Macaca fascicularis: one gene and its partners. The protein of the gene in region 1 purifies or fractionates together with the protein of each later gene. This does not show direct contact. Links are inferred from orthologs where the notes say so. Each region holds a gene or a part of one and is shown in the gene's direction. Other genes may lie near its edges.

Region 1 (6,888 bases):
GGTTAGGAGTTCAAAACCACCCTGGCCAACATGGCGAAACCCCGTCTTTACCAAAAAAATACAAAAATTAGCTGGGCATGGTGGCACGTGCCTGTAATGCAGTTACTCAGGAGGCTCAAGTGGGAGAATCGCTTAAACCTGGGAGGCTGAGGCTGCAGTGAGTGAGCTGAGATCACACCACTGCACTCCATTCTGGGTGACAGAGTGAGACCCTGTTTCAAAAAAAAGAAAAGAAAATAGAATAATAATATAAAAAGTGGTTGTGATTGGTTTATAAAGGCATTATAAAGTTTATTGATAGTACTCAATTAAGGGATGCTTGAATCAGTGAAGTCAGAGAATGTTTCAGAAAGCCAAAATGAAAGGACGGAATAAAGCAGGGGCATCTTAAGAAGAGTGCAGAGCAGCTCAGAACGTTTGTGCTTCTATTTTCCTTGTATCTGGAATGGTTTTCACCAGCTCATCTCATGCCTGGCTCCTTCTTATTCTTCGGGTCTCAGCTTCAATGTCACCTTTTCAGAGAGGTTTTCCCTGACCACCCTAGCTGAAGTAGCTCCCTGTTTCCCTATCTGTTACAGAGCTTTCTACTTCTTTTATGAAACACTTCTTTTTTTTTTTTTTTTTTTTTTTTTGAGATGGAGTTTCGCTCTTGTTGCCCAGGCTGGAGTACAATGGCACGATCTTGGTTCACTACAAACTCTGCCTCCCAGGTTCAAGTGGTTCTCCAGCCTCAGCCTCCCGAGTTACTGGGATTACAGGTACCCACCACCATTCCTGGCTAATTTTTGTATTTTAAGTAGAGATGGGGTTTCACCATGTTGGCCAGGCTGGTCTTGAACTCCTGACCTCAGGTGATCCTCCCACCTCGGCTTCCTAAAGTGCTGGGATTACAAGCATGAGCCACCATGCCAAGCTGAAACATTTCCTAAGATTTATAATTATTTCAGGGCCGGGCACAGTGGCTCACGCGTGTAATCCCAGCACTTTGGGAGGCCAAAGTGGGCAGATCACAAGGTCAGGAGTTTGAGACCAGCCTGACCAACATGGTGAAACCTCGTCTCTACTAAAAACACAAAAATTAGCTGGGTGTGGTGGCGCGCGTCTGTAATCCCAGCTACTCAGGAGGCTGAGGCAGGAGAATCGCTTGAACCCAGGAGGTGGAGGTTGCAGTGAGCCAAGATTGCGCCACTGCACTCCAGCCTGGGTGACAGAGTGAGATTCCGTCTCAAAAACAAACAAACAAAAAAGATTTATAATGATTTCATATTTATGTAATATCTTTCTACTGCCTGAATATAAGCTTGAAGGAAGGAAGGGATGATGCTTGTCTTTTTCACTATTGTATTTCTAGTGCCTGTCACAGAAAGAACATAGTCTATATGTGTTGAATAGGTTAATAGAAGTTTAGGGTACAGGAGCTTAGGTCTAAATTATAGATTGAGAAACAGCTGTTTTTCTGTTCCATTACTATAATCATGCTTTATTGTATACCTGGCACCTGGCACTAGGGTGACCAGCCTTCCCAGTTTTCCCAGTACTGAGAGATTTTCTGGGACACTGGACTTTTCAGTGCTAAAACCTGGACAGTCCCAATCAAATCAGGATGATTTGGTTTGACCCTACCTGGCATGTAGCAGACACTTGGTACTTTTTATTTTTTAAAACTCTTTCATACTTGTTACCTCTTTTGATTATTAAACCCACATGGAAGGTAGGGCACGTGATAGAGCCTGATGGCACTGGACAGGTGAAGCAGCCGAAGCTCAGAGAGGCTAAGTTACATGCTTAGGTGTTCTTATTCCTACTCTAAGATTTTAATGCCAGTCAAGAAAATTGCAGCACTTTGGGAGGCTGAGGCGGGTGGATCACTTGAGGCCAGGAGTTTGAGACCTGCCTGGCCAACATGGCAAAACCCCATCTCTACTAAAAATACAAAAATTAGTCGGGCATGGTGGCGCACGCCTGCACGAGAATTGCTTGACTCTGTCTCAAAAAAATAAGAAAATAATGTTAGCTCAGTGTCCAATACGTGGTAGGTACAAATACATGCCTTTAAAAGTTCAAATTATAGTATGGCTCTCAAGGTGTGAGGTTGATGATAATTAGGGCTGGGAAACTTAAGATGGAGAGTCTTTAAAGTGGGGTTAGTGTCTATCCCTGTTCTAGTTCCTAAGAAGATATGAGAGGAAGAAAGAGAGTTGCTTTGTTTTGTTTTGAGCTTCCTGGACAAAGTGAGTGTGAGAGAATTGATAGGAGAAAGTAGATCTCCACTTTTCAAAGGCATATTAGCATCTGCCTTATGCATGGCACTAAAGGAGTGAATGAAGTACACATAAGATCACCTTTGCTCTTAAGGAACTGAAAATCTTGTTAAGTTTTTAAAAGTCAAAAGTCTGAAAGTTGTTAAGACTTCCCAGAGCCTAAAGAACATTCTAAAACCCCTTGTCAGGCCCACACAACCTGACAAAGTGAGCACATTCATTGACAGTGGCACCCTCCAATCACCCGCAGTACCCTATACCTTTTCAATTTTACAGGAAGCACAAGCTTGAGCAGGGCCCAGACTATAGTCCTGTCCTAGATCAAGTCTAGGCAGCTACCTCCTCTTCCCATGGCTCCACTGCTTTTACTCAACCCAATGTAGGGACTGTGGCAGATGGAGAGTCAGCCCACAGTCTTAAACCTCATTCCACAGTAGTTGCACTGGGTAGTTGGAACACAGATGGAGGCAAGGGGGCCATCTTGTCACCCAGAGCCTGAACTGAGTGAGACCTCTACCCATTGTCTCCACTAACAGTCACATGGCCATCTGCTGCCTGCAGTTTAGTGTTCCATTGCTCCTCAAACCTCTCTACCTCTCCCAGAGGAAGTTGGTGAGGTGAAGGAAGGAAGTAGCCAGGAATACCTACACTAACAGCAACCCCGTATCCATGAGTAAAGTCAGCTTCCACTTCCAGCCACCGTCCAGCATTCTGCCCTGGCTCACAGATAACCCTGTCCACAAGCACACTTCCACTCCCATCTTCGCAGAAGCCTAGCCCTTCTCCTTAGCCACACAGCTGTAGCATGCATTAGCATTTGAGTTGTATTAAAAATGAATGTAGACCGTTTGTGTTGGCCCATGCCTGTAATTCCAACACCTTGGGAGGGTGAGGCAGGCGGATCATGTGAGGTCAGGAGTTTGAGACCAGCCTGGGGAACATGACAAAACCCTGTCTCTACTAAAAATACAAAAATTAGCTGGGCTTGGTGGCACATGCCTGCAGTCCCAGCTACTTGGGAGGCTGAGGCACAAGAATCACTTGAGAGGCAGAGGTTGCAATGAGCTGAGATCATGCCACTTGCACTCTAGCCTAGGCAACAGAGTGAGATTCTATCTAAAAAAAAACAAAAACAAAACAAAACAAAGACATCGTAGAGCCAGTCAGGGTGGCAAGAGCACTTGTAGTCCCCACAACTCGCGAGGCTGTTCTGTGTAGTAGCTATGTTCTTAGTATTCCTGATGTGACAGTCAGCTTGACCCATAGATATTTTACTTAAGATAAAAGCAAAAAGCAAAATTACCTAATTCAAGAAATTACAGGTTTATCCAGTATATCTATCCATGTTTATTTCCTCTAATGGTTTCAGGTTGATTTCAAAATACTTAACTAAAAACATATTTCAATTTACTGTTTTTAAAAGACAGTTCTGTAAGTCAACTATCAATGCTCGGTAAATGTATATCTTAATTAAATTTGATTTAACTCTCCAGGGGGAACACACCTGAAACTAGAGGAACAGCTTATGTGGTCTATGAGGACATCTTTGATGCCAAGAATGCATGTGATCACCTATCGGGATTCAATGTTTGTAACAGATACCTTGTGGTTTTGTACTATAATGCCAACAGGGTAAGTAAGTTCTCATTGTGTAGTGATCTCATTTGAGAATTAGTGTAGAACTGTACTGTGATGATATATGTCTACTGTGACTTTGTTTTTTGGCTAATGCTATTGATGAAATTCATTTGGCTATAGATTGGTAATTTAATTTTGGTGCTTACCACATTTCCAGGCATTTCAGAAGATGGACACAAAGAAAAAGGAGGAACAGTTGAAGCTTCTCAAGGAGAAATATGGCATCAACACAGATCCACCAAAATAAATGTTTTCTACATTTTCATTTTGGACTAAATCCCATGAATGACAATTTTCCACTTTTTTTTCCTTTTTAATTAATACTAAATATTGTGATTTCTAATTTGAGGTTCAACATGACCTACTTGAAACTTTGATACATATTAGAATACATTGTGTTAATAAACTTACAGCTTTTTGTGAAACACCTCAATCTTTTCTCTTGAACTTTCCCTTCCTGTTTGATACCAGGAAAAAACAGTCGAAGCTTATCAACAATTGTAGGTGCTCCTAGGGATTCTGTGCTTCTTGAGAACAGGACCTCTTAACGTAAATTCTTAATGCCTCCAGGGCCCAGTGCAATGCTTAGCCATCAAAGGAACTTGCTGTTTATTGAATGTCTATTAATAATTAAACCTTCATAACAACTCAGTGAAGATAGGTATTTGCATTTTGCAGGTGAGGAAACCAAAGCTCATGATGTTGGTTGAATGAATAAAATGCTAACATACAAAGCTGGTGTGATAACAACCAGTTATTAACCAAGCCTTTACATGTGAATAATGCTTGCTTTATAGTTAACAAAACACCTTTGTCAATATGGGTACCCTTGTCTTTAGAACAGAGGTCTGTTATAGAAATGGTCACTTAGATGATAGTACATTGTTAGAAACTTAGATTTGCCTCTTTAAATTTTTTAAAAAATTATTATGGGTACATAATGGTTGTCACATTGGTAGAAATTTGAGAGCAAGCTGCTTGGGTAGTGGTGTTGGTTGTTATATGTCTAAGATTGTATTTATGTAGCCTTTTCCTTTAGTTATTAAGCATCTGTATATATTTTGGACCTTAGTTCATAATATATCTTTACCATAAATAAAATACTTAATGTTCATTCTTATTATCATAAGTTCCCATGACATGGAAATAGTATGGTTATTACCCCATTCATCATCATGGCAGCTTAGGAGAATATAGCAATGATTTGCTTTTTATTGCTTAGGCATGGACCAAATGGGAAAACATGGACTAATTGTTTTGTGTGTAATTGGAACCTAAAATCAATTTGAAGGGTACATACACTGAATCATTTCAATGGACAAAGAGCATCAATTCTGCTTTTAATTGTATCTGAGTGTTTTTTGAAAGCAGTGTAAGAGAGTAGAGTCATTTCTAAGGGTGGGCAGATAAGAAAGGAGCCAGAGCTGTAATTTTCTTTTGAATGCTTTTATGAGTGCATTATTGGTTTTTGTAATGCATGTTGTGCCTTTAGGTAATGTAAAAATTTTCTAAAAGACTTTCTTGTAAGAGAAAAACTGAAATTAGACTTTAAAACTTAGAGTGTGATTTGTCTAAGTGGCAGGCTAGCTTGCCTCTGGTGTAGTTGTTTTAATAACAAGGAGAAATTCCTTCTATTAGCAATCATGACTAGTCCATCATTTGGATTGATATATGTTAGCTGAATTTCGTGACCTAAAGTTAAGACGTTTAAAACTTCCCTCTAATTTGGAAATTCCATATCCTGTCCCAATTAAGTTACAAGAACTTGCACTCAGTGGACAAACACTGACCCCCCACTCTGCACACAGTACTGCACCAAAATGCTGAGGATATAATTACGATCAGTCCTTTGCACAAGGCATCCAAAGCTCAGTTTTTCAAATGCTTTTAAGAGTGCAGCAGATGACTGTGTTTATATGTGCACACATGTGTGCCAGAGCTGCTTGACTTTCATCTAGGTTAAATTTTTGAGTTTCTAAGAAAAAATTTGTATGAATAGAGAATTCATTGACTGAAAGTTTGAAAACAACTGACGTGACCTTGATCTTATTTTTTTATTTTTTTTATTTTTGGAGACGGAGTCTGGCTCTGTCCCCCAGGCTGGAGTGCAGTGGCCGGATCTCAGCTCACTGCAAGCTCCGCCTCTCGGGTTTACGCCACTCTCCTGCCTCAGCCTCCCGAGTAGCTGGGACTACAGGCACCCGCCACCTCGCCCGGCTAGTTTTTTGTATTTTTAGTAGAGACAGGGTTTCACCCTCTTAGCCAGGATGGTCTCGATCTCCTGACCTCGTGATCCGCCCATCTGCCTCCCAAAGTGCTGGGATTACAGGCTTGAGCCACAGCGCCCGGCGACCTTGATCTTATTATTGCTCTTCTGTTTAACAACTTTAGTGGCTTTCACAGGCCAATGTCCAAACTCATTAGTATGCTGCATCATAATTTTCTGCATCATCTTTTAAAGCTCCAGTAAAATGGTTCATTTCCCAGTTTACCTGCAGTGCCTAGTCTGTCCTCTCCAGGTGCTAGCCAGTATGTGTTTGCACTTTTGGGGGAGTTCTCTTAGTGGGTGTCTTCTTTGACCCACCTCAGCTATAAATACTCTAGACCAAGATATTTTATATACCCCATAGTGGGCACCTGAAATAGTCCTTGATGCCATATTTAGTTATTGGTGTCACAGGAGAAAATATGCATATGTCTTTTATGCAGGCTGACTTCTAAGAAATTATTGTAGGCATTTGTGTCATCAAAGAAAGCCAGGAACCAAGACATTCTGAAGGAAATACCTTCTGGCTGGTCTAGTCCCACAGTAGAGGTGAGCACAGAGACTTTGGGTGACTACAATGCAAGGCAGTTCCTTTCTCTTATTTTGTGCGTCCTAAACCTCTGCTTCTTCATTAGCTCCTCCACCCTCAGCAAAGGAATACAGCCAGGATTTCTTGGAGACAAAAAAGGTAGATCATGTAGCCAAGATGATATGGCCTCATAG
Region 2 (7,427 bases), on another chromosome or scaffold:
GAGTTGAAACCAGCCTGATCAACAAAAGAGACTGACCCTATCTCTACAAAAGAAAAAATTTAAAACAGGTGTGGTGGTGCACGCCTGTAGTGCCAGCTTCATGGAGGCTGAGGCAAGAGGCTTGCTTGAGCCCGGGAGTTTGAAGCTGCAGTGAGCCATGATTATGCCACTGTACTCCCGCCTGAGTGACAGAGCAAGACCCTATCTTGAAAACAAGGAAAGAAATTATCTGACAGTCTCATAGAAGAGAGATACAGCAGTGTCTTTCTTTTTGTTTGTTTGTTTTTTTTGTTTTTTTTTGAGACGGCGTCTCGCTCTGTCGCCCAGGCTGGAGTGCAGTGGCCAGATCTCGGCTCACTGCAGGCTCCGCCTCCCGGGTTCACGCCATTCTCCTGTCTCAGCCTCCCGAGTAGCTGGGAGTACAGGCGCCGCCACCTCGCCCGGCTAATGTTTTTGTATTTTTAGTAGTGATGGGGTTTCACTGTGTTAGCCAGGATGGTCTCGATCTCCTGACCTCGTGATCCGCCCGCCTCAGCCTCCCAAAGTGCTGGGATTACAGGCTTGAGCCACCGCGCCCGGCCAGTGTCTTTCAATAGTATGAGAAGCGTCTGTGTTTTAGGGCTTCATTCTGACTCTTGGCCGTTGTTTCTCACTGTTGCCATTTTGAACAGGGCATTTCTTTACTGTCCATACATGGTAAGAAGTTTGAACATCCAAGACCCTAAGTATCTGACACTGCTACCAACACACACACACACACACACCTTCCTCTCCTCGTCTCCCTCCCTGTCATCGTGGCAACCCAAACTATTCATAGGGTGACTGACAATACCACCTCTGATTAAGAACCAGTATTGTAGGGTTTCTGGGGTTTCCATTTCTGAGAAGTGTTCCGTGCCAGAGCATTGTTTTGGTCAGGGAAGCGTGGGGTGTATGGATGCTAAACAGTGGCAAGGTGCACACGCCGTGTGCTGTCCCGCTTGGATCTGACGAATCTTGGAAGTGTTAGTACGCCTCCGTTTCACACTTCCTGTAGAAGCAGCTCTTGTGGATTGTCTGGGGCGTGAGTATAGGCTGCCCTGTCCTACCAAGTTACACCCTTTCCATTGAGGCAGAAGTGACCAAGGGGAAGGGATCCTTTTAATATAACCCACACCGTCCCCACAGTGTGAATGTGGCATCACTGACCCAATCGGAAATTCGAGACATCATCCTGGGTATGGAGATCTCGGCACCGTCACAGCAGCGGCAGCAGATTGCTGAGATCGAGAAGCAGACCAAGGAACAGTCGCAGCTCACGGCAACACAGACTCGCACTGTCAACAAGCATGGCGATGAGATCATCACCTCCACCACCAGCAACTATGAGACCCAGACTTTCTCATCCAAGACTGAGTGGAGGGTCAGGTACTGTGAGGGGCAAGAGGGTGGGGATGGAAAGGCCGGCTGCACTACCTAAGGTGCTGGGCTGAGCGATGCTGACACTCCCTACACGTTTTTAGGGCCATCTCTGCTGCCAACCTGCACCTAAGGACCAATCACATCTATGTTTCATCTGACGACATCAAGGAGACTGGCTACACCTACATCCTTCCCAAGAATGTGCTTAAGAAGTTCATCTGCATATCTGACCTTCGGGCCCAAGTGAGTAAGTGGACTCAGGCCACAGTGTGTGCCCAACACATTTTGTGCCTAAAACACCGACCTGAGATTGTCTAGAACTTGAGATGCTGGTTTCAAGATTCATGGATGAGTAATTATGCAAGGATAGCCAAAACAACGAGGCGGGTTTTGGCCCCATGAGATAGCAAAAGCTGTGGCAGCTGAGAGAAGGTAGTAAATGTAGTATTAACCTGATAGTATTTGGAAGAGAATAGATATGGTCAGAAACAAATTCCTGACCAGATGTGCATGGTGGTTCACGCCTGTAATCCCAACACTAGGCTGGGCACAGTGGCTAATGCCTGTAATCCCAGCACTTTGGGAGGCCGAGGTGGTGGATCACCTGAGGTCAGGAGCTCAAGACCAGCCTGACCAATATGGTGAAACCCCGTCTCTACTAAAAATGCAAAAAATTAGCCAGGCATGGTGGCATGCGCCTGTAGTTGCAGCTACTAGGGAGGCTGAGACAGGAGAATTGCTTGAACCCAGGTGGGGGAGATTGCAGTGAGCCAAGATCGCGTCACTGCACTCCAGTCTAGGCAACAGAGGAAGACTCCATCTAAAAAAACAAAACAAAAAACCTTTGCCTGTAGTCCCATCTACTCAGGAGGCTGAGGTTGCTTGAACCAAAGCAGTGAGCTTTGATGACCACTGCACTCCAGGCGGGGCGCACTGGCTCATGACTAATCCCAGCATTGTGGGAGGCTGAAGTGGGCAGATCTTTTGAGCCCAGGAGTTCGAGACCAGCCTGGGCAACATGACGAAATGCTGTCTCTACAAAAAAATTAAGAAACTAGCTAGGCATGGTGGCCCACACCTGTAATCTCAGCTACTCAGGAGCCTGAGGTGGGAAGATCACCTGATCCTGGAGAGTGGTGAGTGTAGTGAGCTGAGATCATGTCACTGCATGCTAACCTGGGTGACAGAGTGATACCCTGCTTCAAAAAAGAAAAAAGATGCATAACTTTACTAGTGTATCAGGGATATTCATAGTTTATAAAAGATCATTTTGGGCCGAGGCCGGTGGATCACTTGAGGTCAGGAGTTCAAGACCAGCGTGGCCAACATGGCAGAACCCTGTCTCTATGAAATATATGAAAATTAGTGGGGCGTGGTGGCATGTGCCTGTAGTCCCAGCTACTCAGGAGGCTGACGCAGAATTGCTTGAACCCAGGAGGTGGAGGTTGTAGTGAGCTGAGATCACACCACTGCGCTCCAGCCTTGCCAACAGAGTGAGACTCCATCTCAAAAAAACCCACTATTGCCGGGCGCGGTGGCTCAAGCCTGTAATCCCAGCACTTTGGGAGGCCGAGACGGGTGGATCACGAGGTCAGGAGATCGAGACCATCCTGGCTAATACAGTGAAACCCCGTCTCTACTAAAAATACAAAAAATTAGCTGGGCGTGGTGGCGGCGCCTGTAGTCCCAGCTACTCGGGAGGCTGAGGCAGGAGAATGGCGGGAACCCGGGAGGTGGAGCTTGCAGTGAGCCGAGATCGCGCCACTGCACTCCAGCCTGGGCGACAGAGCGAGACTCCGCCTCAAAAAAAAAAAACCCACTATTAGTGGCTGTCAGGTTGGCAAATTTGAGAAGACTGTTAATATCCTGTGTGGGTGAGTTTATAGTAAACAGATCCTCTTACTTGGTGATAATGTAAAATTTAAAATAGCACCAAGTGCTGGATTTCCAGATGTTCTCAGTTTGTGAAAATACACTGAGCTGGAGGTTTGTATGCTCATTTGCTTATGAATGCTATCCTTAATAATCAGCTGGGGAGCTTGTGAGCAGTGCAGATTCCTGGACCCCACGCAGGAGGTCCTGATGTGGGAAGTCTGAAATGAGGTCCATGTTTAACATTTTGAACAAGCACCGCAGCTGATTCTGATACAGGGGTTCTGATCATGTTTTAAGAAACTGTCCTCGTTCTTGGGGGAAGGAAGGAAAACAGGGCTGGCAGCTCCACCTCTGAGCTGGTACTAAGAAGAGTTTTGGTTCCTGACCCCTTTGTCTCCAGATTGCAGGATACCTGTATGGGGTGAGCCCACCAGATAACCCCCAGGTGAAGGAGATACGCTGCATCGTGATGGTGCCACAGTGGGGCACTCACCAGACCGTGCACCTGCCTGGCCAGCTGCCCCAGCATGAGTACCTCAAGGTAATGGAAAGTGATGGAGCCTGGGAATGTGGAAAAGCTGGTGCGATTCCTGTCTGCAGATGGGATTCTGAAGAGCTCTGTACTCCTCTTTACCTATAGGAGATGGAACCCTTAGGTTGGATCCACACTCAGCCCAATGAGTCCCCGCAATTATCACCCCAGGATGTCACCACCCATGCCAAGATCATGGCTGACAACCCATCTTGGGATGGCGAGAAGACCATTATCATCACGTGCAGGTGGGCCTGGGCTCCTTGGGAGGAAGTATGGTGGGGCAGGGATTGCAGGCCAGGGCCCAGAATAGTGACCTGAGCTGTTACTCCGTCCTCGTCCCTCCCCCAGCTTCACACCAGGCTCCTGTACACTGACGGCCTACAAGCTGACCCCCAGCGGCTACGAATGGGGCCGCCAGAACACAGACAAGGGCAACAACCCCAAGGGCTACCTGCCTTCACACTATGAGAGGGTCCAGATGTTGCTGTCGGACCGCTTCCTTGGCTTCTTCATGGTCCCTGCCCAGTCCTCGTGGAACTACAACTTTATGGGTAAGTGGGAGGAGCCTGGGGACGTGGGGATAGCAGTAGTGATAAGGTGAGGCCATCGCCTGTCACACTTGGGGCCTGGCTGGCTTGGAGGTGGTGCCGGCTGCATGAGGCGGGAGCCCTGTTGACGCTGGCTGTTTCCTTCTCCCCGAAGGTGTTCGGCATGACCCCAACATGAAATACGAGCTGCAGCTGGCGAACCCCAAAGAGTTCTACCACGAGGTGCACAGGCCTTCCCACTTCCTCAACTTCGCCCTCCTGCAGGAGGGGGAGGTTTACTCTGCGGACCGGGAGGACCTCTATGCCTAGCTGTTTCCCTGCCTCCAGCTTCAGCCTCCTGAGGCCGGAGCCTCAGCCCCTCCAGACAGGCCGCTGACATTCAGCAGCTTGGCCTCTCCCTCTGTCTGTGCTTGTTGTGTTGTTGACCTCCTGATGGCTTGTCATCCTGAATAAAATATAATAATAAATTTTGTATAAATAGGAGTTCAGGGGCTGTTTGTTTTTTTTCCCCCCGAACCCAAATTCTGGATTTAGGTCTAACAGGAGAAGGAAACAGCCAAAGTTAACAGGGCTCCTGCCTCATGCAGCCTGCGCCGCCTCCAAGCCAGCCCCAGGTGTGACTGGACTGGAGCGGTTTACAGCAAGATGCTGGGCTCGCTGTGAAGGGGGAGTATGAGGCCACCTTCCTATTCAGGGCTTTGGGGTAGATAGCCCCTGGACTCAGTGGAGACCTGAGGCGGGGCTGGGCTTTCACACTCCGCTGCCTTGACCACATTTGCTGCTTTCTCTACAAAACAGTACTTGGAAGCCCTCGCCTCCTTTCCACAGTTCTGGGAGCAGTTGACCTTTCCCGGTCTAGGAACTCTGGCTTGCGCTGAGCGGCTATGGTGTCCAGCCCAGCCCTTTAAGCTTTCTGTGTCACTCCTGGTCAGGAAAACAAGCACACAGGCAGACAGCTGGTGTACAGCCGGGCGGAGGCCAGTGACTGGCTGCCTACCTGTCACCTCTCGCCTGGAGTGCCCCGCTGCCAAGTTGGCCCCATGACTCCACACACGGGGCGGAGCCTGGACTGGGCCTGTGGGGAGGGCTCCACTAAAGTGACCACTTGCAGCCCTGAGCCTCAGCTCTTGGACGTCTGGCTGGAAGTTGGCTGTCCTGTTTCCTGTGACCTTGGGCATGGAAGGGACAGGGCCCAGGGGACCTAGGACACTGTCTCCCTTCCCCACGCCTTCTCCCTCGTTCCTCCCCACCCTTCTCGCTTCTACCCCGCCCACACAGCCCTAAAGGCTTCCTGGGGCGGAACTGTTTGGCTTTTCCCCGTCTCAGTTGAGGGTGGAGGGGTCGCAGCCCTAAGCCTTTGGGGGACATGGAGCCCAGAAGGGCAGTGGCGCCTGGCTGGGGGTCTCGGGAGACCGCGGGGTCGGGAACGGCCGCGGAGCTTGTGTACCATCTAGCCGGGGCCCTGGGCACTGAGCTGCAGGAGCTGGCGCGCCGTTTCGGGCCGGAGGCGGCGGCAGGGCTGGTGCCGCTAGTGGTGCGGGCGCTGGAGCTCTTGGAACAGGCTGCCGTGGGGCCCGCCCCAGACTCGGTGAGTCACGGCGCTCCCCTCGCCACCCGCGGGGCCGGCAGGGCCGAAGCCTGAGACCCGGGTCTCCCCAGCTGCAGGTGTCGGCGCAGCAGGCGGAGCAGGAGCTGCGGCGGCTGCGGGAGGAGAACGAGCGCCTCCGCAGGGAGCTGCGCGCGGGGCCACAGGGTGAGCCCAGCTCCGGCCAGGGCAGGGCGGGTGGCGACCGGCTCGGGTCCTCCTCTCCCTCCCGCGGGCCTACGTGCCGCCGCTAAGAACGCCCCTTCCTCAGAGGAGCGCGCGCTGCTGCGGCAGCTCAAGGAGGTGACGGACCGACAGCGGGACGAACTCCGTGCGCACAACCGCGACCTGCGGCAGCGAGGCCAGGAGACCGAGGCGGTGAGGGCAAGATGTGGGCGGGGCGGGGGCTCCGGGGGCGGAGCGGGGGGCGGAGCGAGGCAGGCACGGGGCGGGGCTCCGCGGGCCCTCGGTGCCCCGCCCACCCCACCGTTTGCTCCGCTCCCAGTTGCAGGAGCAGCTGCAGCGCCTCCTGCTGGTGAATGCTGAGCTGCGGCACAAATTGGCGGCCGTGCAGATCCAGCTGCGCGCCGCGCAGGACCGCGAGAGGGAGCGCCAGCAGCTTGGCGAAGCCGCGACCCCGCCAGCTAAAGAGGGAGCGCAGGGGCAGGCCGGGGCTCCCGGGCACCAGCACGTGCAGGAGCCCGAATGGATGACCGCCGGCGCAGGCGCATCTGAGGACCCGGTGAGTGCCGCATGAGGGCAAGGACCCAGCCCAGGACTCAGCGTCCAGCGCTCGGTGGGCGCTCGGGCAAGGTTTGCATGCTGCACAGCAGGTCCGCCAGGAAGCCGGGAAGTGGCAGACAGATCTGCGCCCCCGGCCGGCCTCGGCCCCTGCTCTCAGCAGGAGCACTGCTCTGTTATCTGTTGGGGCACCCTTGTCCCCCAAGTCTCCCTGCCCGTCACTTCCTCTAGCATTCCCATGATGGCCCTGGAGCAGGGGGAGGGAACGCCAGCGGAGGCGACCCTCTGACCATGCCTGTCCTTCCAAAGGCGGAGGCTGCGCAGCAGCTGGGGCGCCCCTCGGAGGCAGGGCAGTGCTTCAGTCGGGAGGAGTTTGAGCAGATCCTTCAGGAGCGGAATGAACTCAAAGCCAAAGTGTTCCTGCTCAAGGAGGAGCTGGCCTACTTCCAGCGGTGAGAGCGCTGGGAAGCCGGGGGGCCTCCCCTCACCCCACCTCATTCTCCAGTCATTGACATGTCCACAGTGACATGTGCCAGGCCTGCGCTGGGAACTGGGAGGACATGAATTGCACAGCCCCTTCCCTCTGCAATATCATCCAGACAGGGGAGAGGGATAGTGCAAAGGGTCGCAGCTGCAGCAGCCAGGGAAACTCTCCTAGAGGGGCCATGGGGCCACCTAAGCTCAGGTCTGAGAGTGTCAGCAAGGCAGAGCGCTTCAGGTGTTCAGGGAGGAGCCGCATGCA
Region 3 (7,427 bases), on another chromosome or scaffold:
TAGTGGAATACTTTTCAGTTCTTAGAATGTTATTTTGTTATTTTGTTATTTTTTTATTTTTTTGAGACGGAGTCTCGCTCTTTCGCCCAGGCTGGAGTGCAGTGGCGCGATCTCGGCTCACTGCAAGCTCCGCCTCCCGGGTTCACGCCATTCTCCTGCCTCAGCCTCCCGAGTAGCTGGGACTACAGGCGCCCACAACCGCGCCCGGCTAATTTTTTGTATTTTTAGTAGAGACGGGGTTTCACCGTGGTCTCGATCTCCTGACCTTGTGATCCGCCCGCCTCGGCCTCCCAAAGTGGTGGGATTACAGGCGTGAGCCACCGCGCCCGGCCTATTTTGTTATTTTGGCTTTTTTTTGAGATGGAGTCTTGCTCTGTCGCTCAGGCTGGAGTGCAGTGGAACAATCTCACTCACTGTAGCCTCTGCCTCCGGAGTTCCAAGTAGCTGGGATTACAGGCGTGCTCCATCATGCCTAGCTAATTTTTTTTTTTTTTTTTTTTTTTTGAGATGGAGTCTTGCTCTCTCCCCAGGCTGGAGTGCAGTGGTGCGATCTCAGCTCACTGCAGCCTCTGCCTCCCAGGTTTAAGCAATTCTCCTGCCTCAGCTTCCTGAGTAGCTGGGATTACAGGCGCATGCCATCCTGCCCAGCTGATCTTTGTGTTTTTATAGAGATGGGGTTTCACCATGTTGGCCAGGCTGGTCTTGGACTCCAGACCTCAGATGATCTGCCCACCTCGGTCTCCCTAAGCGCTGGGATTACAGGCATGAGCCACTGTACCCAGTCTCAGTTCTTAGAGTGTTTTGTATGTTGAAATGGGAATATGTCCAATATAAACTGCTGAACGAGAACTACAAGTTACAGATGTGAATAAAATATGACCCAATTTATGTAAAAAGAAATCTGTATATATGCTTATGAATGTGCATATAAAATGATCTGGAATAATATTCCTACATACCCACAGTGCAGGGGGTTAGGAAGGGAGATTTTTACTTTATGTATAAATATTGTAATAAACTTGTAATCTTTTTACCAACTGTAATTCTTTATTTATTTTTCATGATTTATGAGTCTGAGATCTTGTATGTCTGGATTTGAGGTTTGAGAATTAGAAACGTCCAAATGACAGTTCATTTTAGTATTGTTGTGTTCCTTCATAAAGGTTGAGGATATGATTCAGGAAAGCTGAAATTGTTAGCATATTCTTGATAGGAATTGATGCAGATAGCATCTACAAATTTTCAGCGTCTAGTTGTTTCATCTTTTTACCTTAATAAATGTGATTTTAAAGTGTTGCAGGTAAAAATTAATGGTTTTATTCCTATTTATAGATTTTTGATGAAATTGAGTCATGAAACTGTAACCATTGAATTGAAGAACGGAACACAGGTCCATGGAACAATCACAGGTACGGAGGTTGGACTACTTTTATAACATTTTTTTCTTCTCTTTTACCTGCTATCCAGAGTTTATTTTTTGATTGCTTAATGAACGTTATTGTAGTACAGATTCTTATTCTTTTGTCTGAATTATGTAATTGATTGATTGATTGATTTTTTTATTTATTTATTTTTTTTTGAGACGGAGTCTCGCTCTGTCGCCCAGGCTGGAGTGCAGTGGCGCGATCTTGGCTCACTGCAAGCTCCGCCTCCCGGGTTCACGCCATTCTCCTGCCTCAGCCTCCTGAGTAGCTGGGACTACAGGCGCCCACAACCGCGCCCGGCTAATTTTTTGTATTTTTAGTAGAGACGGGGTTTCACCGTGGTCTCGATCTCCTGACCTTGTGATCCGCCCGCCTCGGCCTCCCAAAGTGCTGGGATTACAGGCGTGAGCCACCGCGCCCGGCCTATTTTTTTTTTTAAACAGAGTTTTGCTGTGTCACCTGGGCTTGAGTGCAGTGTCATGATCTCGGCTCACTGTAACCTCCGCTGCCTGGGGTCAAGCAATTCTTTTGTCTCAGCCTCCCGAGTGGCTGGGACTACAGGTGCCTGCCAGCATGCCTGGGTACATTTTTTTTTTTTTTGAGACGGATTCTCACTCTGTTGCCCAGGCTGGAGTGCAGTGGCACAGTCTCAGCTCACTGCAACCTCCGCCTCCAGGGTCTGATTAATTTTGGTAGAGATGGGGTTTTGGTCTCGAACTTGTGACCTCATGATCCATCCGCCTCGGCCTCCCAGAGTGCTGGGATTTCAGGCGTGAGTCAAGTCACTGCACTGGCCTAATTTTTGTATTTTTAGTAGAGACGAGGTTTCAGCATGTCAGCCAGGCTGATCTTGAACTGGACCGGGCTGGTCAGAAGACCTCAGTTGATCCGCCCGCCTCGGCCTCCCAAAGTGCTGGGATTACAGGCGTGAGCCACCAAACCTGGCCTAAGTAGGTCTTTAGTTATCCCATTAGTTCAGGTATAATTTGGTAAAGGCTTCAGTATTCAGGTGTTTCAGCTATAATGTCATATAATCACCCTAAAAAATTGCTTTGTATTTTGTAAACTCTCATACTAAAAATAGTAGCTTAATGAGAAGAATAGGTGTTGCAGACTACTTAAAAGCCTGTGTAACTTTGTAATCAAAATATTCTTAACAAAAGTGGTAACAATTATTACATATAGAGAGAAGCAGAAACAAAGGTGAGGATAGTTTAGTGGAATGGGGATTATGAGAAAGTCACAAAGACAGTGAGAGAAACATTCAAGAAATACCTGTCAGATCAGTAGTGAGCCTGAAGCCCAGTCAGGGTTCTTCCATTGCTTGCTGCATTCATTTCTGTAAGCAAAACTTAGTGTGCTAGGAAAAATCTCTAGGAAGGAAACACTGCTGATTTATACTGACGTTATTCCCCCATTTACCAGTTGCATATGTGCTAAATTATGTCATAGAAAACTTGCACTGTAGCAGAACAGTATTCTTTTGTAGTCCAGTATTTACTGTGGCTCAGTAGATTAATTAGTTGCCTGACTTTTATCATACTAATAACTGCCCAATTATTTTCTTTTTAGGTGTGGATGTCAGCATGAATACACATCTTAAAGCTGTGAAAATGACCCTGAAGAACAGAGAACCTGTACAGCTGGAAACGCTGAGTATTCGAGGAAATAACATTCGGTATTTTATTCTACCAGACAGTTTACCTCTGGATACACTACTTGTGGATGTTGAACCTAAGGTGAAATCTAAGAAAAGGGAAGCTGGTAAGTTTGAAGGATTATAAAAATTTTTGTGAATGCTAATCCTAATCCACACTATTCATAATATAAATATTTGCAAACAACACAAGTGTCTTTGTTTTTTAATATTTCTTATAATGTGTATTATAACTCCTGGTGTTGCTATTAAAAACATTGATGCGGCTGGACACAGTGGCTCACGCCTGTAATCCTAGCACTTTGGGAGGCCGAGGCGGGCAGATCATCTGAGGCCAGGAGTTCCAGACCAGCCTGGTCAACATGGAGAAATCCCATCTCTACTAAAAATGCAAAAAAAAAATTGGGCGTGGTGGCGCATGCCTTTAGTCCCAGTTACTTGGGAGGCTGAGGCAGAAGAATCACTTGAACCCGGGAGGCGGAGGTTGCTGTGAGCCAAGATCATGCCACTGCACTCCGGCCTGGGCTACAGAGTGAGACTCTGTTTCAAAATAATAATAATAATATGGTTGTAATCCATAGCTTGTAAAACAATGATTTAACCTCTCATGCTGTGTATCATGCTGCTTTCCACTTTGCAAGAACCCCCTGTGGGTACCAAAATCTACAGATGCTCAAGTCCCTTTTCATAAAATGGTAATAGTGTTTCCATCTAACCTCTGCACATCCTTTTGTACACTTGTAATACCCAGTATAATGTAAATGCTTTGTAGATAGTTATATTGTATTGTTTAGGCGTTAATGACAAGAAAAAGTCTGACAACCATCATAGGCCTAAAGTTGGTTAAATCCATGGATGTGGAACCCATGGATATTGAAGGCTGACTGTATTTTCAAATCTGAGGACTTTTTGCCTTAATGTCTTTAGGGTTATTCTACTTTTACTACCTACCTACCTGTGAGGGAATTGATGATTGAAAGCCCCCTGCCTCGTATCATCTTACTCCACGCTGAGAAGTTATTCTTCCTTTACTAAATGTTACAGTTCCAAGTCTATTTTCTGATTTAAAATTTTGTTGAAAAAAATTTTTTTGTTTTCTTTTTTTTTTTTTTTTTTAGATGGAGTTTCACTCTTGTTACCCAAGCTGGAGTGCAGTGGCGCGATTTCAGCTCACTGCAACCTCCGCCTCCTGGGTTCTAACGATTCTTCTGTTTCAGCCTCCCAAGTAGCTGGGATTATAGGTGTGTGCCACCGCACCCAGCTAATTTTGTATTTTTAGTAGAGACGGGGTTTCATCGTGTTGATCAGGCTGGCCTCATACCCCTGACCTCAAGTGATTTACCTACCTCAGCCTTCCAGAGTGCTGGGATTACAGGCATGAGCCACCACGCCCAGCCGAAATCTTTTATCTACTATGTTTTCTCTGCTTTTCTTTGTTCTTCTGGGTACTTACCGTTTTTGTTCCTTTTCTATCATAAATACTATTTCAGAAGAAATTGGAGATAAGTGTGGTCAATTTGGTTCATTTTAACATGCGTCCTAGACTTACTGTTTTTGTGTGTACACATTTAAAATAATATAGTTTAAAATAACTGAAATTGGCTGGGCGCGGTGGCCCATGCCGTGAGCTGAGATCGTGCCATTGCACTCCAGCCTGTGCAACAAGAGTGAAACTCTGTCTCAAAAAAATAAATAAAATTATTTATGCCTGCCCCCCACCCACTCCCCACTTCTTAAAAAGTTGTTTTCTTAATTTATCTTTCTTTTATACAGATATGCACCACCAAATCTGGCTAATTTTTTAATTTTTTTGTAGAGACAGGGTCTCCCTGTGTTGTCCAGGCTAGTCTTGAACTCTTGGTCTCAAACAATCCTGCTGTGGCCTCTCAAAGTGCTGGGATTACAGGTGTGAGCCACCATCATACCTGGTCCATTTTCTTTTCTTTTTATTTCTTTTTTTTTTTTGAGACAGAGTCATGCTCTGTCGCCCAGGCCTCACTACAACCTCTGCCTCCCGGATTCAAGTAATTCTCCTGCCTCAGCCTCCCGAGTAGCTGGGATTACAGGTCCCCAGCCCTTTTATTGTTGTTGTTGTTGTTGTTTTTTACAACACTGCTCCAACTCTGTTTTTCCCCCCAATTTAACACTTCATTTTGAAATAATTTTAGACACAAAAAGTTGCAAAAATAGTACAAGGAATTCCCATACACTTTCACCAACATTGCCTAAATGTTAAAATTTCATGTAACTACAAAAAATAGAAATTTTATATTGATGCGACACTATTATATTATCTAGAGACCTTTTTCACGTTTCTCTGATTGTCCCTCTAATGTCCTTTTCCTGGTCCAAGATCCAATCCAGTACAACAGGTTGCATTTAGTTGTTCGTTTCCTTAGTTTCTTTTAATGTGTATCAGCTGGTTCCTTTTGTGACCTTAACACTTTGTAAGAGTACGGGCCAGTTATTTTGTGGAATGTCCCTTAATTAGCATCTTAAACTCACTGTTTATTGCTTGGAATGGTAAGACTAGAATCAGCGTGTACAAATTTCTAATGTGGCCAGGTGCGGTGGCTCACACCTGTAATCCCACCACTTTGGGAGACTGAGGCTGGAGGATTGCTTTGGTCCACGAGTTTGAAAGCAGCTTGGGCAACAAAGGGAGACCTCATCTCTACAAAAAATTAAAAAATTAGCCAGACCTGATGGCTTGTACCTGTAGTCCCCGCTACTCAGGAGGCTTAGGTGGGAGGATCACTTGAGCCCAGGAGTTCAAGACTGCAGTGAGGTGTGATTACACTGCAGGCTGGACTACAGAGAGAGACCTTGTATTTAAAAAAAAAAAAAAAAAAAGCAAAACATTTAGAATGTAACTGACTTCTGTGTCAGGATTTTCTAATATTCTTAGCTGTCTGAAGATGAAATAAGTTTATTTGGGTGATAAATTCCCTGTCACCATGATACTCAACTAGAGTTAGGATGACCCAGTGACAGGGATATTGCTATATGGATTAAAGCACTAGATTATGTGTAGGTCAAAATAGTTTCAATTTTCTGAAGAGTTAATAAGATTGTGATTTGATGTAATAGATTTAAACTTCCCTGGTTTTGAATTAACTTGCTTGGATTTTATTCAGTTACCAAAACTCTGGCATCAAGGTGATCGTGTTCTATTCTATGATATGTATCTTCCTTTTTTTGTGAGATTCAAATCATTTTATGGTGAATTTGAGACATGATATAAAGAAAAATTATTTTTTTAAGTTTGACACATTTCTTAGTAAATAAATTGAAATGAAACAAATAATAATCTCCCTAGGCCTTTAGTTCTTGGTTCTGCATGATAATGTGTTGTGGGGTGGGGAGAATCTGAAGTCTAACACATTTAACAGAAGCTAGTTAAACTTTTATTTACTGTAGCTGCTAATACAGAGCTATAAACGGGGAAAGGTGTGTGTGTAAATGTTGTTTGTGGTGTCTCGGTAACATTTGTGCAGAAGAGAATTGAGCTTGGTTTGTTTTTCTTTTCCTTCAGTTGCAGGAAGAGGCAGAGGCAGAGGAAGAGGAAGAGGACGTGGCCGTGGCAGAGGAAGAGGGGGTCCTAGGCGATAATGTCTCTCAAGATTACTGTTTCAAAGTCATACGGGATTTGGGATATTTTTTGTACAGGTTGTGTTTGTTTATGTCAGTTTTTAATAAACATAAATGTGGGATAGAGCTGTCTATTTAGTATATCAAAGTTTTAGTAGTTTCCTCCACATTCACAAAATTACCACAGTGAGAGCTAAGCATTTCTACTGGGCAGTTTCATTTTTAGATGATCAGATTTTAAGTTTTTCAACTAAAATTTTTCTTTTTATGATGAATAAGGTTAAAAGAAAAGCTTTAGACAAATTTAGTTTGGCAGAGTTTAATTGAGCAAAGGACAATTCACAAATCAGGTAGCCCCTGAAGCATAATAGGTTCAGAGGCTTCAGCCCAGCTGTGTAGTTGATGCAGATTTGTGAACAGAAGGAAAGTGATGTATGGAAAATGAAAGTAAGATACAGCAACAGCCATATTAGTTACAGTTCAGTGTTTGCCTTATTTGAATATGGTTTGAACAGTTTGCTGCCTTTGGTTGGCTGAAACTTAGTGATTGGCACGAGAGTAAGGTACAGTCTGTTTACACATCCAGTTAGGCTACAGTTCTATGTACTGAGAAACCTTTAAGCTGAACTTGAGATATGTAAAGAGACTTTAGGCTAAACTTAACAATACATATAGAATATATACCCTTTTACTTGACATGCACTAAATATGCATTTTACTGCTGACTTCATTCTGTGGCACCTACCCACAGGGGA

The links. Proteins that work in one complex are often made in the same cells at the same time.
Region 2: the proteins of SF3B6 (region 1) and PRPF8 fractionate together in Homo sapiens (co-fractionation; 3 studies listed by BioGRID, with this or other methods). This does not show direct contact. The link is inferred for Macaca fascicularis from reciprocal best matches to the Homo sapiens genes SF3B6 and PRPF8.
Region 3: the proteins of SF3B6 (region 1) and SNRPD1 fractionate together in Homo sapiens (co-fractionation; 3 studies listed by BioGRID and IntAct, with this or other methods). This does not show direct contact. The link is inferred for Macaca fascicularis from reciprocal best matches to the Homo sapiens genes SF3B6 and SNRPD1.

The regions. Positions count from the first base shown.
Region 1 is NC_088387.1:98,205,840-98,212,727, forward strand, and holds the end of SF3B6 (splicing factor 3B subunit 6), read left to right. Parts: intron 1-3,754; coding exon 3,755-3,893; intron 3,894-4,056; coding exon 4,057-4,146; 3' UTR 4,147-4,332; downstream 4,333-6,888.
Region 2 is NC_088390.1:1,769,343-1,776,769, reverse strand, and holds the end of PRPF8 (pre-mRNA-processing-splicing factor 8), read left to right. Parts: intron 1-1,167; coding exon 1,168-1,407; intron 1,408-1,502; coding exon 1,503-1,644; intron 1,645-3,676; coding exon 3,677-3,817; intron 3,818-3,916; coding exon 3,917-4,056; intron 4,057-4,159; coding exon 4,160-4,362; intron 4,363-4,513; coding exon 4,514-4,668; 3' UTR 4,669-4,842; downstream 4,843-7,427. Other genes in the region: RILP (rab-interacting lysosomal protein), read left to right, coding at 5,726-5,947, 6,019-6,112, 6,216-6,322, 6,450-6,686, 6,995-7,137. UniProt on the Homo sapiens protein: Plays a role in pre-mRNA splicing as core component of precatalytic, catalytic and postcatalytic spliceosomal complexes, both of the predominant U2-type spliceosome and the minor U12-type spliceosome.
Region 3 is NC_088392.1:68,133,808-68,141,234, reverse strand, and holds part of SNRPD1 (small nuclear ribonucleoprotein Sm D1), read left to right. Parts: intron 1-1,332; coding exon 1,333-1,409; intron 1,410-2,996; coding exon 2,997-3,188; intron 3,189-6,616; coding exon 6,617-6,693; 3' UTR 6,694-7,427. UniProt on the Homo sapiens protein: Plays a role in pre-mRNA splicing as a core component of the spliceosomal U1, U2, U4 and U5 small nuclear ribonucleoproteins (snRNPs), the building blocks of the spliceosome.